Linked DNA regions of Styela clava. The protein of the gene in region 1 binds, or shares a complex with, the protein of each later gene. Links are inferred from orthologs where the notes say so. Each region holds a gene or a part of one and is shown in the gene's direction. Other genes may lie near its edges.

Evidence for each region.
Region 2: U5 small nuclear ribonucleoprotein 40 kDa protein-like (region 1) and pre-mRNA-splicing factor RBM22-like share a complex: the UniProt entries of both Homo sapiens proteins name them as parts of the postcatalytic spliceosome P complex. The link is inferred for Styela clava from reciprocal best matches to the Homo sapiens genes SNRNP40 and RBM22.

What each region holds. Positions count from the first base shown.
Region 1 is NC_135250.1:11,928,476-11,939,001, forward strand, and holds the start of U5 small nuclear ribonucleoprotein 40 kDa protein-like, read left to right. Parts: upstream 1-6,246; 5' UTR 6,247-6,261; intron 6,262-10,526. UniProt on the Homo sapiens protein: Required for pre-mRNA splicing as component of the activated spliceosome. Component of the U5 small nuclear ribonucleoprotein (snRNP) complex and the U4/U6-U5 tri-snRNP complex, building blocks of the spliceosome.
Region 2 is NC_135260.1:8,228,883-8,239,667, forward strand, and holds the start of pre-mRNA-splicing factor RBM22-like, read left to right. Parts: upstream 1-5,920; 5' UTR 5,921-6,062; coding exon 6,063-6,116; intron 6,117-6,478; coding exon 6,479-6,532; intron 6,533-7,900; coding exon 7,901-8,063; intron 8,064-8,504; coding exon 8,505-8,605; intron 8,606-9,368; coding exon 9,369-9,541; intron 9,542-9,736; coding exon 9,737-9,943; intron 9,944-10,628; coding exon 10,629-10,772; intron 10,773-10,785. Other genes in the region: cytosolic sulfotransferase 3-like, read left to right, coding at 1,134-1,374, 1,780-1,893, 2,089-2,198, 2,528-2,669, 2,887-3,002, 3,105-3,282, 3,584-3,696. UniProt on the Homo sapiens protein: Required for pre-mRNA splicing as component of the activated spliceosome. Involved in the first step of pre-mRNA splicing.

The sequences.
Region 1 (10,526 bases):
ACTAATAAAATGCAAAGTAGCATCTAGTTCTCGTATAACCCCTAAAACAGTCTGCAGATGCACTTCCAAAAAAGACAGGCGTTGCGAAAAATGAACGGATCAATTGCATTGTTATGTCATAAACGATGTCAGGCCCAATTGCTGAATAACGGTACACAGCGGTGCATACATGCGTACAAGATTAGGGGTTTTGAAAATCACCATACCGGCCCGAAAATCAACATTTCGAACATGAGCGATCGCAGCCCTCCCTGACTGTACAACTGACGGTACATTATAATAGTTTAGTAATTGTTAGATTAATTTAAAGCCGGTTTTATCATTTTTTATCACTGATATGTTAGCATTTTTTTATTTCATTCGTGCCTCCGCTTGGCGGGTCACAAATAAAACGCGGTAGGTCACTTTGTGACCCGCGGGTCAGTGGTTCGCCATCCCTGGCCTATAAGGTCAATTTTATAAAACTTTTTTACATATTCGGGATGGAGATTGTAAGTTGTAATTGTGTACTGCATGGGTTCTCAAACTTTTGGCGTTGCGGAGCCCTTGAAAAGGTTGACTATTATTCACGGAGCCCCAAAATAAATGTTAAAATTGTTACTTTCCGATTAATATTCCTGAGTAAGTTAAACGTACTTTACTCAATTTAAATACTAAACCATTTTAATAGGGTTAATAAAAGTCATAAATAAATCTAAATTTCAAAGATAAATTGTATAATACTAAAGCTGTAAATTTGACACATGACAAACATATTAATAAATTAGGCGACGAATCTTTTCCCCTCTTGACATTTTTGGAAGACTTAAAAGGTCGCTAATAACGTGCGCGATTGCATTTTGTTACAATCGCCGATTGTTTTCGTCAGCATGGCGTGTTTTTAAACCTCAAACATCTTTACGCCGGTGTTTATTCTCACTAAATCAAAAATTTCCTTCGGCATATACATGTATTGTTCCACAATGACGACGATAATTGCTTTTTCGTTCTCGTGGGGAATAACAAGTTCAATGTGAAAAACATGTTACCATATTATAATCATCGGCGACGAAATGCTAAAAATAATAGTTAATAAAGAGGTAAATCCGCAATTCAAATTTCTTGATTAAAAAGCGTCATTCTAAAATATTAGAACTAAAACTCAAAATGGAAGATAACACTATACGTTTTGTTTCAGCAGACTCACGCCAGAATAAAATTTTTCCACTCTAAAACTACCGACGGAGAACAAATCAAGTTTAACAAATCCCAAGATCGCAAAAATACGACTCCAATTTATTTATAGTTGGCAGTTTATGTTATTTTAGAATAGTATTCTTTCATTTTAGTAATCCTAATAGTAATCTGGAATCGAACGTGAGTAACGATGAGCACAATTAAATTATTACGACAAGACACGCTCACATCGGTCATGAATTGAATATTTTACGCAACAGAAATCTCGTTATCCGTTGTTTTTGAATCGCCAAGAATGTTGCGCATAAATTTCCGATTCCAAATTTGAACCTCCTCCCTCTTAAGAATCCTGGCTGCGCTCCTGCTTATAAATAATGTCATTTTTTAAGTCCGCCACTTTGCCATATTTCGAGGCTATATTGTTGTTAAATTTTATCAAAGCTGTTATTGCTTCTAGGAACAGTTTTAAATTAGCCAGGTCAGTATTTTGAAAAGTAATCGAATAGCTCGCGGAGCCCCTGGGTTTCTCTCGCGGAGCCTTGGGGCTCCGTATGGAGCACTTTGAGAACCTATGGTGTACTGTATTGTGTTTTATTGTATTGCATGATTAAGTTATTCCGCATACTGAATGGAATATTGATTTATGAATGTGACCGTATATTAAGGTGTTTACCGCTGAAGGTTTTTGAATAGGGCTGGTAATTTCAGGTAAAACAATTTAATCGTTAACCGGGTAGATTCAACCGGTTACCTGCGGATTGACGTTTCACGCAATAATTTATAATTTTAGATTGGTACGTCACAATCGTTACAAATTCATTTCGATTGATCTTATCCCGGTATCGCCTTAAAATTATTTACGAATCGAGATAGTTCCATAATCGCGCTACTGCAAGGGATATGTAGCGTGGTTCGAACATACTTCAATAAGACCCGATTCCGGTATTAAACAGACAAATTCTCAGTGTTCGATGAGCAATTTCTACTTTGAGATATCATAAAGAAAAACAGCATCAACTGCGCACTTTTTGGATGACATCGAATATACGATTTTGCAATGAAATCGGGAACAGTATATTTTGGCAAAAAAATTATTCTGAATTTATCGTTTTCAAATTTTTATAATCAGTAATATTTGTACTTCAATTATTTTTACAATTGTTGGGACCTCACCAATACAGTTAGTGATGTTCTTTTGAATTAAACACCCCAGGTGATGAATTTGCGATGAACTAATCATTTTTTATGTACCTTAATTGTACATTATAAAGATGATTTGTACCTGAGATGTCAGTTAACGGTTAAAATAAATCGTAACCGTTAACCATGTAAAATCGGTTAACCGATTGATCGGTTAACCATTTCCAGCCCTATTATTGAAATAATCGTCGCAAGACAATTTTGCCCCGATATCTCCGGACAAAGCACCCTGCATTAGGTCTGATGTTTTTATTGTAATACTAGCATCGATGACCAATGTGATTTTGTTACAGTATTTTATATCGTATACCGAATATCTTTCGCGTGTGTACTGATATTTCCATTCACATCAACTATTTAATACATTTGTCAAAATATTGAGTGATAAGTGTTAAAGTTGCGTGTAGACAATGGTTTAATATGTTAAAGGTTTATATTATATTGGTTATATTATGTTTTATTGTTATTTTATGTTATATTATGTTTTATTATATTATATTGACCGACCTAATATTGAGTATCTGGTTTTGGAGTATTAATTTTGAACCATTAAAGTCAATAAGATAGGCAGAAATATATAGACCTATTTCGTCGAAGCGATAAACAACAACTAACCAGTGAACACCTGAGTGTCGCTGTCTTACGTCTGCAAGGGAACCGAACGAGACAACACCACATCCTTTCGGGAGACGCAAACTGCAAGTAGCTTCAATCGTTTCCTAATCTAACGGACTAATTTAACAAGCATTAGTTAGGGACAGAACTACTAATCCACAACGTCATCAAAAAACCGACATAACCGGTCCAGATTACCAGTTCTCACGACTCTAAAAATTCTTGGTATTATCATTAATTTCAATAAGAGAAGGATGCAGACATCGCAATTCATTGTATCAACTCCTTCACAGTGGGGAACGCGCACTAATATAACCAGGATTAGGGCCATGATCGGGCCCCAATGCAGTGTAACGCCCGTTGATGAAGTAACAAAAATATTAGTCGCGTCCAGAATGCCATCAAAATTTTCCGTAGTACTAACTGCAATTAACGATGAACCGATAATCATGAACGACAATGAACCTGATAAAGTAACCCGTATGCAGAGTCGGTATTATGCAAATTCAATGAAGGTACAGAGTAGGAAAGACGACAAAATTCCCGGCCAAGACAAATCTGACAAATGAAGCTTGCCAACGAGGGCCCTTGGATAAAATCTGGAAAGAGCCCAGATTTGGTAAAACGCAAATTCGGAATGATATATATTAGTAACAACAAAGATGAATGTTCGGCGAAAATGGCCAAGGTATGCCCTGAAAAAACACCTGAATGGGACCCAGATGAGGCGACGATACAGCTGGTCAATACTGAAAGTATGAGCAAGCTGCCAGAATCTAGAAACAACAGCAAAGCATCTGCCCGAGTGGCTAAAGAGAAAAAAGTCTTCATTGATCAACCTTCTGTGAGAACCAGCCAGCAGAATAGTGAAGAATATGTTAATATCAAAATGGATGAAATCCGAGGAAACGTCCAAATGCAGTTGAAAAGCAAAATCATGATGCGAAACCCAAAATGACGACTGCTGATCACTCGTTTCGGGATATGCCAGAAGCTGGCCGAGATAATGACCGCTCCGAAGCAGATGCACTTCGTATATCCAATGACGTGACAAAATTCATATTGGAGGGAAGTTGTAAAGTTTTGCTGAGGGGTTTACTTTCGAGTAATCGAGTAACACCCCGGATGAACACTGCGATTAGAGGGTGGAGAAGTGCAACTAAGCGAAAAGTGCGGCGTTGACTCGTGTAGAGCGATGTGGCAGTGTACAAAGATATTTATTATTGTTAAAAAATTTGTGTTAGCGTATATTTTGTTGTACGAATAACATATCGGGGCATCCGAGTAAAAGTGCCGTACGCACCGTATGCCTAAGCTAATTGGAATATTTAGAAAAATGATTTCTGTCTAAAGCTCAATTTAATAGCACAAAATACGAATAGGATAATAGAGCAAAATTTTTACAGTCGAAATTGGGTTATTATTATTTTGGCATAGTTGGGAAATATGAACTCTTATTTTGGTAGAGTCATGGAACTAATTTTCTGTGAACAGGGAGTCATTAAATGCTAGCGTGGTCTTGTCCGCGCACTGCATATCAAGAAACTATTCCTATTTTAGCAGTGAGTCTTGAAAACAGGAAATTCTCTGCGAAATGAGGTCACATATGTTGAAAAGTCTATGACTTGTGGTTTTTTAGCAAAACGTCGCATTCGTATATATTGCAAAAAGGTTTTACGTAAATTGGGCACTTATGACTCACAATTAAACCTGGACTGTCGCTTTTGATATTATAAAAAGGGTTTATGTTAATTATTTGTATTATTCACGTAATCTTGATCTCAAAAATTAGAAATGGGATTCTAAGTTAAGTTATATTGTAAGAAAATGTTCGTAATTTATTACTATTATTTTAGTTTAGAATTAGTTACAAAGTTGTTAACGTTAAATGTCTTTGAGTTTTGTATTTTAATTTTTTTTGCCAATTGTAAAGTTTAAATGTCTTTCATTCTGGAAATTGCAACATGATGTAGTGATTGGGAATATTGTTGATCAAATGTTGAATATTCAAATGTTCTCACAAAAAACACATGTTGTTGACTTGTAATTGAACCGCAAACGATTTCTGAAAATGTTCGACATGAAGTTTATCCCACCTGTCAATCAATTCACCCACGTTATGAAATGTAATTATTGTATGAATAGGTCATGTGGGATCAAGCATGTTATAAGACTTTGGAATTTCTCATTGATTTAAACTTAGCGTGTATGTATGTATTTTCATTTTTGTGCTTATATCTGAATTTTTATTAGGGCTTAAGGAATTAATACGCATATATTTATATCGTGTATGTATTTGGTTTATGCACTACTCATTTTTAATCTTTTAGGTAATCTTGCTTACTCGTACGACTAAATGACTTGAAACTTTATTTTATTATTATTTTTGAGTTTAATGTTCAATTTATTTTTGATTAAATTGTTCATTATTGATTAATCGGGCGCATCCGAATGGAGAATGTAAGTCGTAATTTCATGTTTTTATTTTGTTATATTGCATAGTAAAGTTATACCGCATACTGAATGCGATTATTTATTGGGATTGTTCCAACTTGTATTTTAAAACTCATAAAAAAACTATAAAACGGAACAGTTGAAAACTCTTAATATAACCAATACTTTCACCCACCAGACTTAGGAACAAAATCGGGGCCACCATGCAAAAACTAAATTGCTGATGAATGTAACATATATTCCGGTTTCAGTGTATTTGAACAATTTCACCTCGGCGGAGTAATTATCTGTAAGTTATATACATACTTTATAAATGAGTAAATATGACTGAGCAGAGAAAAACACTCGAAAAAAATGGAGGCACCACTGGGATTGATTTGAGGGCAATTGTCACGGCAGATTACATTGTCATGACCAACGCACCATATTAGGTGTTTCTAATGAAAGATTAACTTCGGTATCAAGGGTCCTTGGCGATCTACGGTCGATTGTGGATGGTTAAACATAGAGCTGATGTGTCTATGGAATTATTCAATGAACAATGTGATTTTGTTACAATATTTCATATCGTATGCCAATTATCTTTTGTGTGTGTAATGATATTTTCATGCATAAATATCGAATATTTAGCAAAATATTATGTGAAAAGTAGTGACGATTATGATCACTGATAAATGTATATTTCAGTGATCAAGTTGGTGTTTTGAAATTTCGTGTAGACAACGTTTCAATATGTTAAATGTTTATATTAGTTTGGGTATATTATGTTTTTTTTGTATTAACCGAACTAATATTGGAGTGTTTGGTTGTATTAAGGCTTAGACCATAAAATTAAATAAGATCGGCAGATTCGGGTCGCTCTGAGACTCGAGTTGGTGTGGACGAAGACCTCTGTCGTCGAAACGATAAACAATTTACCGATGAACATCTGAGTGTCGCTGTTGTACGTCTGTAAGATCTGCAAGAGAACCGAACGAGACAGCACCACATCAAGAAAATCGCCGTGGAGAGGCAGCCCTGCGAGAAGACGCAAACTGCAAGTAGCTTTAATCGTTTCCTAATCTAATTGACTAATTTAATCAGCATTAGTAAGGGACAGGACTACTGATTCCCAGCGTCGCCAACAAAACGGCAACACCAGTCCAGAATACCAGCCTTTACGAGAGAAATTTTAAAAGAAGAGCTGAGAATTGCATGCTTGCACGTTAATACTTTTCCAAGACATTTATAGGAGATGGTGCTAAATTGGTTCAAGAAGGGGAGGGCGCGCCTTACAAGGGGGAAGAGAAACTTCGGGAAATAATGAGTCTAATCAAACAGGCCATAGAGAGACACAAGAATGTTAGCGGGACGGAAAAGAAACTCTGCAAAGACTTGATAAGACTTTTTGCCGAAATGCAACGCGAACTATCGAGTGCTAAAAAAAGGAATTGGAACAGGCAAAGAAAGAGGTCAAGAAAGCCGAAATTAATCTCGCAACTGTAGAAAAGGGGGCAAAAAAGACCAGTACGAAAGTTAATGTAGAAGATTTCCAAAAGGTATTCAAGACGAATACCAGGCTGGGAAATTGTACATGGAATCCTTATTGGAGGATTCGGCAAATGCGCAGCCAGCGTACGCAGCGGTTAAAGCAATAGAGCCAACGGCTCCAGTGCCATCGCCGCCCTCTTACAGTGCCACTCCAATCAAGCGATAAATCTCCCTAAATTTGTGGGCAATCCACATCGAGATTCCCGAGGGCCTATCAATGGTCGTGGAGAAGGGATTTGACAGCCAACAGGTTAACGTGGTAAGAAATATATTGTCAAATAGTCATTTTCATCAGTCAGTAATTTATTTCTTCACGATACTCAAAAAAGAAGATATATATATATCCGTAAACCATAACTGGTTGCACAAACGACGTTAGGGATGATTTCAATTATTCCGCGAAAGTAGTTCTTACCGTAGTTGAACAATGGCATAGCCATAGATGTGTTGGCGCAGACGATCACCCTGGTACGTTTTATGTAACATCTCAAAATGCCTTACACGATAAGTCTCCGAATTACTTACATTTTCCATTCAACGAATTTATTTAAATATGTCATTACCAGATGCGCATTGTAAATTTATATCCGTTTTTAATTGCTGAAACTCATAATTTGTTTGCTAAATTATTACAAAGACAATCAACTTTATTAATTAATCAAGGGCTACATTCATTGAAAATACCATCTGACTGCAAAACCCGATGGCTGTACATTCAGGCTGTTGTAGATAGAAATACCAATAATCTCTAGCTCTTCAAAACTATTTTTACTAAATTAGTCCCGCCCACTTAAAAGCTGATCCACTACTCACTTGTACAATCGAAGATTATATAAATTCCAGGCTTATTTATTATCTTATCTCCCGTTATAAACTAGCTGGAACAGAGGCTTCAAAAAAATATTCAACCTTGTAAAGTGGAACAACAACACAGAATCAGGGAAGTTTTGGGCTGAAGGATATGCAAAAAATTCCCTGACTTCATTTTCAGAATACTTTGAGTTCGCTAAGCAAGTGTAGCGTACCGACAGACGATGAAATAATTATCCAAGTTCAAAATATCTTCCAATATGGTCTGACGTCAAGTTTCTTCTCAATATTCACTTCAAGTAATGTTATTTTATTCTATTTATTATTCATCAATCTTAATACAACCAAATACTTCAAACAAAAGACAAGCATACAATAAAGCGACAAGTACCAGGTAGCACAATGCAAGAAAACAGAATATACACAATAAAAACACTTTGAACAGTACTGATGATAGCTAATTCCCTGACAACAATCAAAAATACAACGATAAAATAACTGCAATGGCACTGTACTGGAACAATAATATCAGCCTACTGTCTAGCATAAAAACATCCAACAAATCTCCATCCCGCAGTCACAAAACCACAAACAAAGATCCCTGATAACCCACCTGAGACCAGAGGCACTCCCACCGACACTCATGACCAGAATCCAACCACACTGTACCGGTACCAACCACATCACACCACAGCACAGCACACGCTAACAGCCACACCCAAAAAGAACAGAACCGACAGTGTCACAGCGTGTGTCCTCCCAGTGTCCCCATTGTCAAAATACCAAATAAGACAATAATTTCACATGACAGCATTTAAAACCTTCCCCAACCGATCTGTCTGGTGCCATTTTACATGGGTTATTTTTTGTCAACCATTAGGCCCCCAAAGCTTCACTCATGGCTTTTTATTAGCGTGTGATAGAGCTCTATTCAGCAATATATGTAAAACGCACTCATCTAAAAAAAAATTTTTTTACGCCAAAATTCAAAAATTTCTATTGAACTTGCAAGATTTTGTGTCTAGTAGAAGGTTAATAATTATTCCTAGTTAATTAATTTTTATTTTAACCTTTTTTTGTGTTATTTTTCAACAGAACAGCACCAAAACCACTATTATAGCAAGGATGGTCACTCTAAAATTCACGATTGTATTTACTAAATTTTTAAGTTCAAGGCTTCAATTGACAATTTTGATGACGCCACACCTCTAATTATTAGTGCACACGCCCCCCTCAATGCAAAAAATGTTACTTTTTCCGACGGAAATGCGCGTAGAAAGCCGTAAACATTATAATGTGCGCCGTTACGCGTGAAAATTACCATTAATTTTACGTTTTTTTCGCGTTTGAAAATTCTGGATACCTCTGCCAAGTATGGTGCAGTCAAAATCATATTTATCAAAATATCACAGCGCCAGGGATGATATGTCTGACTGAAAATACATGCTAAACCAATAATAAGTCATTATAAAGGAGTTAATGCTATTGATTTTCTGTCTGAGTCGCGTCAACAATTTTACACATCTGAATGGCGATTTTGAAATCAACGCTATTTATACGATTCGCACTTTGCGTCACGGCTGGAGTCTCTTTTTCGTGAATTATACGACTCTACTATTGAACATTGACTGTAAAACATCATTATTAATTTTTAGAGCTAGACTAGGCATAATAATAATGAGTATATGTCATCCGGCTGTGTTAGGTTTAACAGATAAAACAAGGGTCGTCACACAAGCAATGATAGTGCCTCATTCAAATGCTAATGTTGAAAGTATTTTAGTGCAATGAATTGTGCAAAAAACTAACTAAGAAACAGCATAAATACTAATTCACTGAATAAAATACTAGTTATTTAATTTTGCCTTATTCAAAGAAAACAAAAACAATGTTGCACGTCTCATAAGTTACAATAGAAATATATAAAGTCTGAAGTCGTTGGAAGCACATGTAGAAACAACACCAGTGATATCATAGTTAACTTAATATAGTTCGCTCGCGATTTTTTTGTCTTTGTTTATTTAAGTTACACAGTTCTCTCGTTACGCTTGAGTGATGCGTCATGATAAAATGGTGCAATAACGCCTTCTTTGATGTCTGTCGCAAACGCTTTTGCAGGCTCTTTTCAATAAACATAAGTCACACAAGACATATTTCGTCGCGAGAAAAAAACGCTCGTCCCTGTTTAACAAAATAGAAATCAAAAATAGAAATTTGGATGCACGACCCGAAGAGGTGGAAACCGAGTCATAGGGATTCGAATCCTCTGGATTCGGTATTTGTATGTCGTCCATCCCTACCTGGGAGTAACTGAATTCTAACTTTTGCGCTATAATTCTGGCATAGCCCTTTTATCACTATCCAATGAATGCAATCACATAATAGCAGAATTACTCTGCCCCTAGTCCACTTCGATAACTTATGGTACCGAAAAAAATTTTACATCACTTTTCTTTTTGCGCGTAGGATGGGTTTTTAATGAATAAGGTCTATTCAAAATATAGTTCAATTTGTAAGCTGGGAAGTTGAGTTTTCAGAACAGTGTTATCATTACTTATCGATTCTAATCGGTAAGTATGTTGATAGGTATTTGTCTGTATGTCTGTCTGTTGGATGCACGCGATATCTCACGAATACGAGATTGAATCTGCTCCAGATTTTGCATGTGTATTCATCATATGTTGGACCAAAAGCATATTGATTTTGAATGAATTATGTCGTATAATTAGCGAGTTATAAAT
Region 2 (10,785 bases), on another chromosome or scaffold:
AAACAGCCGTCAGGCTGTTGCAATAACTAAGCGCTGCTTGTTGTGGTCGGTGACCGTACATTTGAACCCATGTACATTTGAACCCATGCGTATATCCACGGGTTCAATCTATATGCGGGTGCTAAAACCCATGGGTTAGGGTTAGTATGGGTTTAACTATCCGTGAAACAAAAAAAATTCCATAGGTGCAATAGCATACAGGTGCAATTGTCATGGGTTCAAATGTAATGGAACCGTTGTGGTCATATCGAGTTTCCGTTTTAGACGCCGCAGTACTACATGCCTAATATGGCAAACTATACCTATACGTCATGCGACGCAATCAATCAATCAATCAATCGTTTATTTTGTCATCACAAAAAAACACGTTCAAACATAAAGTGACACAATGAATAAATTACAGTACTAATCATGTTTTTGCGTGACTGGAGTCGCGAGGCACCTAAGAAGGTCTTCAAGCAGCGACACCTACAGCGCTACAGGTTAGAATAAATATAATTAAATAAGGGATAAAATGAATAAATCCTAGGAATAAGTCACATAAGTTACAGCGACATTCGAAATGTATGCGATTATGACACAGTAAAACAGCAGCATTTTTGAGCGGCAGACAAGCAGCATAAAAACAAGCTGTCGTTATGGCAGCGTACTATGCTATTCGAGCACGTCGGTGATAGTCGCTACTGCAAAAATTTTGCCTCGACGATTCAGCATATCCGTGTAAGATTGGGATTCATGAGTAGAACGCCACAAACCGGCAAATATTGTCTGTTTATTTACTTTGGTGCTACTACGAGATACGTGTAGTACTAGTCACCTACATATAGGCACGTATATATATGAATTAGCTTAGTATTGAGAAAATGATTATTTCTGCCGAGTTTTGTAGTACTTTCTGACGTGTTGTGATGTATACTACGTCGTCCACGAAGGAATTGAGCTGCTGCGTTTTGTGTAGTTATTATACAAAACAAATATACATTGGAAGAACAAATTGCAAATTAATTAAGATTAGATCAAATAAGTCATGTCCTCCCACACTAATTTGTATTTATTTTTTACTTTATGTCGTATCAGTGCGTTACAATAAGAAACGTTTTAGTTAAAATCGATAAAACGCAGAAACAGCCCAAATGGAAGAGAATTTTGCTGAAATACGAGCCTTGTTACCCCCAGAATGCGTTCCCATTTGGGATAAAATGATGAGCATTGATATGTCAGAATTTTTTACTGTCAAGAAAAAGACTTTACCCATTGAAGACTGGAAAGGGCATAAAATGCAACCTTCATTCAAAGCTGAAACCGTCCGGTTTGCTTATGAAGATTGGACGCCAAGAGAAGGCGACGTATTCGTTGTGGCCTATCCTAAAACAGGTATAAAATTTATAGTAGTCTTGTATTATTAAATATTTTTGGGATACCATAGATCTTGTGGGATGTAGGTCTTGTTTGCGAAAAAAGGTAACGACTAGTTTTAACATTAATCGTCTAAACTCTAATTAATATAAATTTTTATATTTATCCAACTATTAGTTGTTGCGCATCTTTTGCGTCGCAGACCATAGTCTAGGGACAAAACATATTGTTTGGATCGGACAGTCAAGATTAGATCTCCTGCCGTATTTGATAGTACATTAACATAGTTACCCAATTGATTATATATAAGCACGTCGGGGTTTGTATTAAAAAGGGGCGAGAGACAAGTTGCTTGGCCGAATTCTCTATGGGTTTTTAAAATATCCACATTGAAGCCAGTCATCTACCCATCTCTTATTACAGGACTAAATTGGACAAACGAAATTGTAAAACAATTGTTATACTTTGGACAAGAACGAGACTACAGAATAATGTCAAGTCAGCCAATGGTCATGAGCCTTATTGAAGGAGGGTGGTGTAAGCTATGTTTTCATTTTTGAATCTCATTCGAGAACCATGATTACAATCTAATCATCTTTAATTACTATTCTCTAATAAATGACAAGGTTTTAGTTGAATATTTGATTCAATTTGCTATCTTTGTGATAATCGACCAATGGCCGAACTAAAGTTGCCTACGGCTCTTTATCGTTTATAATTTTGTCTTTGCAGCTGAAAAATACAAAATATTTGATGCAATGCCATTAAAAAAAAGAATATTATGCACACATTTACCTGCACCAGTGATAAATGTCGACAAAATCAAGAAAGTCAACGCGAAGGTAAACATTTCAAAAAATGTATTTCACCCATCTACTCAAATACGATATGTTATGTTTTAGTTTAAAGAGGCGTCCTTACACAGTATACTCTTTTATTCCACATTTTAGTAAAATCAGTTGTTATATATATATATATATTATTAGGGAGTGTTTCATATATTTTGGTTCTGAATTAAAAACACCCGTTTTGTGCCGAACTACTATATATATATACTATTTGTTTTTTATATTTACCCTGGGCCTGGAAAATTTTTGTCAAGAAAGAGTTCCATCTATTATAAACCATTTCGCTGCTCTCCGAAAATTTCAAGTTTACTGTTTCTTCTTAGGTTGTCTACGTGTTGCGCAATCCCAAAGATCAAGCAGTGTCCTGGTTTAACTTCATTCCAAAGTTGCCGAATCTACAAATCGAACCGCTAGATAAATTATTTGGATCAGACTGGGCTACTTTTCTGGACAGCTTTATTGCGGGTATATATTTAACATTTTTATCTTTCCATTTGAGTAGTATATGACTTTACTTTTTATCGGCGACTTTGTCAAGCATGTATGTATATATATGTGTGTGTGTGTTTGTGGGATTAGTGTGTGTGATTTCTTCAAAAAATATATGCACGATCGTGTCATTCCTGTGTGCCTGAGATACACTTTTACCGGAATTCAGAGAACATTTTTTTTTTATATTTAGGCAAAATGCCCATCGGTATGCGTGACGGGGAATGGTATTTGGACCATATTTTAGGATGGCTACAGCATAGAGACGATAAGAATGTGATGTTTTTCTATTACGAAGATATGAAACAGGTATGTACAAAAATGATATCTCATAACAACACACCTTCTGCCATTTTATCATTTATTGCTATATGTTTAAGTTTATATATATATATATATCAAATGTAATAGAATCCGGTAAAAGAATTTAGCAGAATGGCGAAGTTTTTGGATTTAAATCTCACTGAAGAAAACATACGAGAAATTGCCGAGAAAGTTGCCTTTTCGAGCATGAAAAAATCAGATCAAAAAAGCGGAAAAGAAAATGTTGATCAAAATTTGAGAAATCAACTTGGAATACTTAGAAAAGGTGAGGCGTAAATTCATAGCAGAGTCTGCTTTAATGCCAGCACACAGTTGTAGTTCCAAACAGTTGTTCTCGCCATTTTAAAAATCTTTTAAATCAACGCGTTTTCAATTTTTTTTTAATTGTTGAATTGTTAATTAAGAAGTTTATGAGCGTGAGAAATGTGTTATTCTCTTTTTCTTTTAAGTATTCGTTGACTTTGTTTTGACGAAATATTAGATATATATACCAAATTTTTGTGCAAGCTAAGTTCTAGAATAATTTAAAATATCGTATATATAATATAAAACGTTTTTTCTATCAGGTGAAGTTGGTGGTTGGAAAGACCATTTCACGGTTGCTCAATCTGAACAGATGGACAAAGAAGTGAAGAACAAACTTGGAAATACTGATATAAAATTCAAATACACTTTATAGTTAGATAGAAAAAAGTTGAAAATGAAGCACGTTTAAATACAAGTTATTAATATACCTAAATATATGAAATCATGTGTTTTCCTTCTATAGCTGGTTCGACAATATTATATGCTATATACGTTTGGAGAAGCAAGCAAATTCGGCATGTTTTAACACCGCTTTTGTACGCCCTCAATACTTTGTGAATGTCAAAATCATAGCAGTTAACAAATAAAAGTGTGATTTTTCAACTTTGGCATAAACTCTTGATCACAGCGCAGTATATGGGTTCGAGGTCAGATGTGACTGCGTTGAATGCTTAAAACCAGGCAACGCAAAGGCGTGGGAAAAATTGAAGAAATGTCTGTCCCATGACTGTTTATTTAAACCAGGGGTGGGCATCATACGGCCCGCGGTCCAGGTCCAGCCCGCGACGAGATTTTGACTAGCCCGCTGACTGTATCCAACCACACTATGTAATGTGATCCGACGCATCATTCCTGAAAGTTGCCGATCGCTCTACTCCCACCGCACTGTCAGTGCGAGCTGGTGAAACAAACAATTGCTTTAGTGAACAAACAATTGCGTTAGCACACTTGTTAAACAAACAATATAAGGTCAAAGCAGGGAGCGTTGTAAACATTCCCTAGCACTGTTATCAGTCATATTTAAATTCTAAATATAAATAGATTTTAGAAATTAGATTTTATAGATATATATTAGGTTTTATTGACCATGGAATATCCCAAGAAACGTACAGTTGACAGAGAGTGTCGAGCATTTAATAAAGATTGGATACCGAAGTATTTTTTGTAAGAATCCGACCAATCGAGGACTTCATTTTCCCACATCTGGCCCGCCGACTAGAAAAGTTGCCCACACCGGATTTAAACCTTTGGATAGTTGGATAGATATTGCTAGTCTTATAGTTTTGCATTTTATATATAGCATTGTTATATATGTAAACAATTTGAATAAAATATAAGCTTTTGAAGCGTTCAAAACAGACCTGCTAAGTGCTAATTGACCTGAATTTTTTCAGTTGGGTTTGAGTTCGAATGGAAAGTATGTCACGACTCACGAATCTGATTTAATCTGGTGAAATGTTTGCTCGCCAATACACAGGACAACCTTTGAGATTCAGTAAACTAGATTTGTTTTATTGTACAAAGCAACCTACCAAATAGTAAAAATGTAACGTCATCTCTACTATCATACAACACACAAAGCCAAATTATAATTTGCAATAAGGTGTTGTTATTAAAGTTAATGGGGACCAGGTGCAAGATGTAAATTTTATCGTATTGTGATCTTATTGAGAGTACCCTGCGCATATGATGGCCCTTCACCGTAATCTCCAGATAGCGATGTTGGTTGGTTAATTCGTTAAAGCCATGGTCACCGACAACAACTGTTACGCGAAATTAAAATCCCCGATTTTGGTAACACAGAAACTTAATATTATTAAGTTACAGAAAGATAATATTATTCATATTTTCCCCAGTAGAAAGGACAGTTTATAAGACATTTTCTTTCACATTTACATTCACGTACAATAACGGTCAATCTTATACATAATACAATATATTGAATATTGGGAATACGATACAATATAAGGAATACAATATAATGACCTCGTGGTCGTATCGCCCCCCGAGGTCTGTACCAAAAACTTCTTAGTATTTTTTATTGTTGCAATGTTCGTTTTCTGGTTGATGAACAATAAATTTTCTCTCTTTCTCTTAATCATGTGATTGGCGGTGGTTTCTCGCTCGTGAAAAGAGGGATACGATAAACATTTAAATAGATGAGAGCAACTAGAGCCCCTCGGTCGCTTACCAGAAAAAAATAAGTCCAAATGTTGCATCACCATTAAATTCTTACTGGTTAGGCACTGATGGACATGAAAATGCCCAAATACTACACGCGGATATCTATTTTTGGATAAATAACTTATGTCTCCGATGTAGTTGTGCTGGTATCCGACTGTTTTTTTTTCAGCTTTTCACTTCTCTCATTTTGGTTCGCGTATACAATATTGTTCAATTCGATATATTTGTAACCATGCGATACTTGAATAGTTAAAATAATATTTAGTCCGTGTTTTTTTCCTGGTTTTATTTTGGTCGAAGTATTTTAGTCTCCGGTGCTAAAATTGATAAAGCTGGTTGTAATGTGACTCCGTACACTAATTTGCTCCAGTGGTTAACGCGAAAATAAGCTTACGTTCGTTTTTCTTGATCGGTTTATCTTTACGTCTCACAGTCTTTAAGATCCGAATAGTCTATTTGCATTCTGCCTGGTACCGGTACCGGTATTACTTTTTGGTTTGGAGGTATAACAATTGAAGTCGCGATCTAAGATAGGGAAACACTTGAATATCAAGAATGGCGACATCTTTAGGAGCTAACCGATATAATCGTCAAAACTGGGAAGAATCGGTGAGTTGTCAAAATCATTCTGTCAAGTTTATGACTTGATATTCATAGCACCCATACCTGCAAACAATTGAATAAGCTTAATACGGAATAAATATAGAATTAGGAATAAAGCTATAAATACATGAAATAGCTTGGAAAGGTTGAGAAATATACAATTGGACAACCAGAATCAGAACAAAATTATTTTTAATTTTTGCCTGACCTCAAATCGCAGAATCATTTATTTTTGTTTGACTTCTGACATGTATGAACCGAATGATAATAATAAGTATAATTATACAAGTTGATACAGAAATGTCCTAATAAATTGTAGTGTGATGAATATTGAAACTGAAATTTAAATCTTCACTTTCTGACTTTAGGATTTCCCGATTCTATGCCAGACATGCCTTGGAGACAATCCATACATCAGAATGGTAAGTTTTTGTGTTGCCATCGACAGAATTGCTTGTTGTAGTCGTATGTACCGTATTTATTCAATTATAACGCGCACTCGTGTATACTGGTATAACGCGCACCTTTAAATTTTGAATGAAAATTGGTATAAAATTCTTTTTTTTATTTTTTCTCTACTAACTACTGGTAAGCACATAAGGTAACAACTCACAGCATGAACAAAAATTTATTAAAAGCACACAGTAATTCAAAACTCTTCAAAATCGGATTCAGTCTCTGACTTTTGTGCAATTTTTGTTTTCTGGCGTAGTGCAAGTCCATACCTTCTCATAAACTTTTGTGCCCAACCATTAGATGCTTTAAAGGTTGAATCTTTGCAAATCTTTTGTGCACGGAGTCTAATATGGAGCGAAGTGACGATGTACCCACTAGATCTTTGATCAACTATCCAATCATAAAGCTCCTTCTCCAACTCTGGGTACCGGGCTTGTCTCCCTCGCCGCGCTTTCTTTGTTTTGTTCATATCTTTTGAACAACTTTCTGCTTTCTCCAATCTCTGACATTTGTCTCTGGTACATTGAATTCTCTAGAAGCTTTTCTATTTCCATGAGTTTCCGCATAATCAACAACCTCCAGTTTGAATGCAGCCCTATATGCAGAACGTTTTTGTCTTGCCATAATAGATAATGGGTAATATATAATGGGTATCTACAGTACAGTACGATAATGGCAAATAAATATTCTCAACGCAGCGGGAATGTCAAACACATGCTGAGCTGTCGCATGTGCGTGTGCTTGCACGAAATCGAACGCTTGCACGAATGTCAAACGCACGCTGAGCTGTCGCATGTGCGTGTGCTTGCACGAAATCGTCCTGCATTGGAATGTGCATGCGCGAGCGCACGCACGTTTCAGATGTTTAAAACCACATTTTCAATACCGCATTTCTCAGACCTCGTGTATAACGCGCAGCATTGATTTTTGCCTAAAATTCAGTTCAAAATTTTGCGCGTTATAATCGAATAAATACGGTATGTAGCTTATTGTCATGATTCAGTGATTATTTCAATTTTTTTAAATTGAAACATTTCACTTCACTGATTAAAATCCTATAAACAACTAAGTGTAACTGTGTTGCTATCTAATCTACCTCTAGTGACTTTAATAGCTGAAAAATATTCTGATAAGATTTAAGACAAACCAAATTTTTCGATGAAAAAATCTGCAATTATCGGTTAAAAAATCTTAAATTATTACAGCAGTTAACGGATAAAAAATGCTAGTGTCCACAATTTGGACATCCCTGCTATAGATGAATTCAATACAAATATACTTTTCCATACTTTATATACTAATGAGAAGAAATCAACTGTTTTTGTTTTTCATAGACTAAGGAAAAATTTGGCAAAGAATGTAAAATTTGTGATCGACCGTTCACAATATTCCGATGGTGTCCGGGTGCCAGGATGAGATTTAAGAAAACTGAAGTCTGTCAAACTTGTTCAAAACTCAAAAATATCTGCCAAACTTGCCTACTGGATCTCGAATATGGTAAGGATTACGATAAACAAAATTTGTCTAGTTGTATATCTATAAGTTAGTATTAGTACTCTTGAATAAACACTTAAATTTATAAGCCTTATTTTAAATGCATACCGGTAATTATTTCCAACAAGGTAAAGAGATGTTTTTATGCTCGGGCCATGTGATGAAAGAAATGCACTGCATTCCATTAAAACAAATAACCTCCGATATTTTTGCAAAATCTTAGACACATAGCGCGTGTGAAATTTTCGAGGATGTGTAAGCCTATTCAACTAACTACTAATATATTTCATGAATGAAATACGGTTCAAGTAAACAAACGAGAAATGAGATTTTTGGGATGTAGCAGCCATGTTGAAAAATTGGCTACGGCATACTTATGTCAAATTCAATTTCAAAATTGGGACATGCTCTGCTTTTCAGGCAAATGTTTACATTAATTTTCAGGTTTGCCCGTTCAAGTTCGAGACCATGCACTGGGACTGATTGACGATCTTCCCAAATCAGACGTAAACAAAGAATTTTATACTCAAAATATGGAAAGAGAGGTAAATATTATTTCAAGTTTGGTTATAAAATATTTATACACTATTTTCTCAAAATGAGCTTCAGAAATAAATGTTCAAATTTAAACAGTTGAAAAATGCTTGTCTGAAGAAGTTCGACCTCGTATAAATGAAACGTTACAGACATACATTTATGCTAGTGTGCAGCAAGACTCTTGAATTAAATTAAATATTTAAACTGCGAAAAAACACAGTATGACTCTCACATTGCGTCAAATAAAATAGTAATGATTTCAATTTATATTCAACAGTAATCATGTAACTACCCTGAAAAAGGTATATTCTAAGTGGTTCCCAACTAGGATTTTGATCTCGGGAAGGAATTACAGAATATAATTTTGTATTATTATTTAGTTAATACTAGCCTAGCCTATTATTGTAATGCATATTTATCCTCACATTATAAACTATTCAAATTTGCAAAAGCAATCGCGCTCCAGAAGTGTTTGTATGAATATGAAGGTAACTTATTTTGTTTGCCTACTTTACATCAAGTTGTGTAAAAGGACTGAAACCTATGGGCAGGGGTATATTCACTTGGCTAACACTGACAGTCCCCGAACTCGTAATAGAACTAAAATAAAGAAAAAAACGAATAAAAGTATGTCCTAACCCTAACCTGGTACACACACTACGGGAGTACCAAAGCCAGTGTGCGAGTTGCAAATAACATTAGCTCACGATCCCTTGAAAATTGAACAAATAACAGAACAGAATGTTTCTAACATTTTCAACATATTCACAGATTGCTAATACAGATGGAACAGTAGCTGTGGGCTCTGTTGGGAGAAGTCAAGCTGCCAATGATTTGCTAATGAGAATGGCAAGAACCACACCTTATTACAAAAGAAATCAAGCTCATATTTGTTCTTTTTGGGTAAAAGGGGAATGCAAAAGAGGAGAGGAATGTCCTTATAGGTATGAAACATTGCGACTTTGTCTTATTGATCTAGCATTCTATTAAAGGAATGTTGATGTAAAAATAGAATTCCCTCCGAGACCAGGCAACATCATTTAGTCTTGAATATTCTATTATAGACTCATACTGTCTAAAATGAGTTTTTTATTAATCTATTATACTTATTATTATTTACCTGTAATCATCTACAACAGGCATGAATCACCCACTGATCCAGAAGATCCTCTTTCAGACCAAAACATTAAGGATCGTTATTATGGAATTAATGATCCAGTTGCAGATAAAATGATGAAAAGGGCTCAAAATTCTGCTGATATAAATCTGGTAGCCCCAGAAGATAAAACCATAACTACTTTATATGTAGGTGGTCTCACAGAGGAAATAGAAGAACAAGATTTAAGGTAGTGTGTAGCTCATTGAAATACTTAAATAGTTTTGAAATTGAATGGATTCCAAATAGAAATAGGCAAAGGAATCTATATAATAATTTAATGACTTCAAAAATATTTGTCTGATAGTTATATAAAACAACCATAGTACCATAGGCTAGTGATAACTTGACTTGAGATAATGGTCATTGTAATCAGTCATATAAATTAATCTTATTTTTATAAATATAATATTGTTTATCTTTAATGAGCTGAGATATTTAAAGGTTTATGGTCTGGTTTATTAACAATCTAATTAATGCACTGTCCTTTATTTTAAACTAGTCCTCCCTTATTAAAAATACCCAAGTAATCTATTAAAAATATCAATTTAATAAACTTTATATGATTGATGGTTTTTTTTTATTTTTCATTCGGAATTGGGTATTGAATTGACCATCTCTATCATTAAGTGTACCAGTAAATTATTCAAACAGTATCAAATGACATTTCCATATGTACAACCCATGAAGTTTTTCTTTGGTCGAGGTGCATTCGTCCAACATTTCAATGTGGTATTAATTTAAGAAAGGTCTTTTTGAAGTCACATTCTTCAAGGTTAAAAAATTCCTGTTTAGGGTGCCACACTCGAATGTTGAAATTGGAAGAGCTATCATTTGTTGCTTTCTAGACTAACCTCGATTTTTTTTATCTATAGAGATCATTTTTATCAATTTGGAGAGATAAGATCGATACACATTGCATCAAAACAGAGTTGTGCCTTTGTTCAGTTCACAAAAAGATCAGATGCTACATCAGCTGCTGAAAAAAGTGTTGGAAAACTTATTATCAAAGGAAAAAGGTACATATCATTC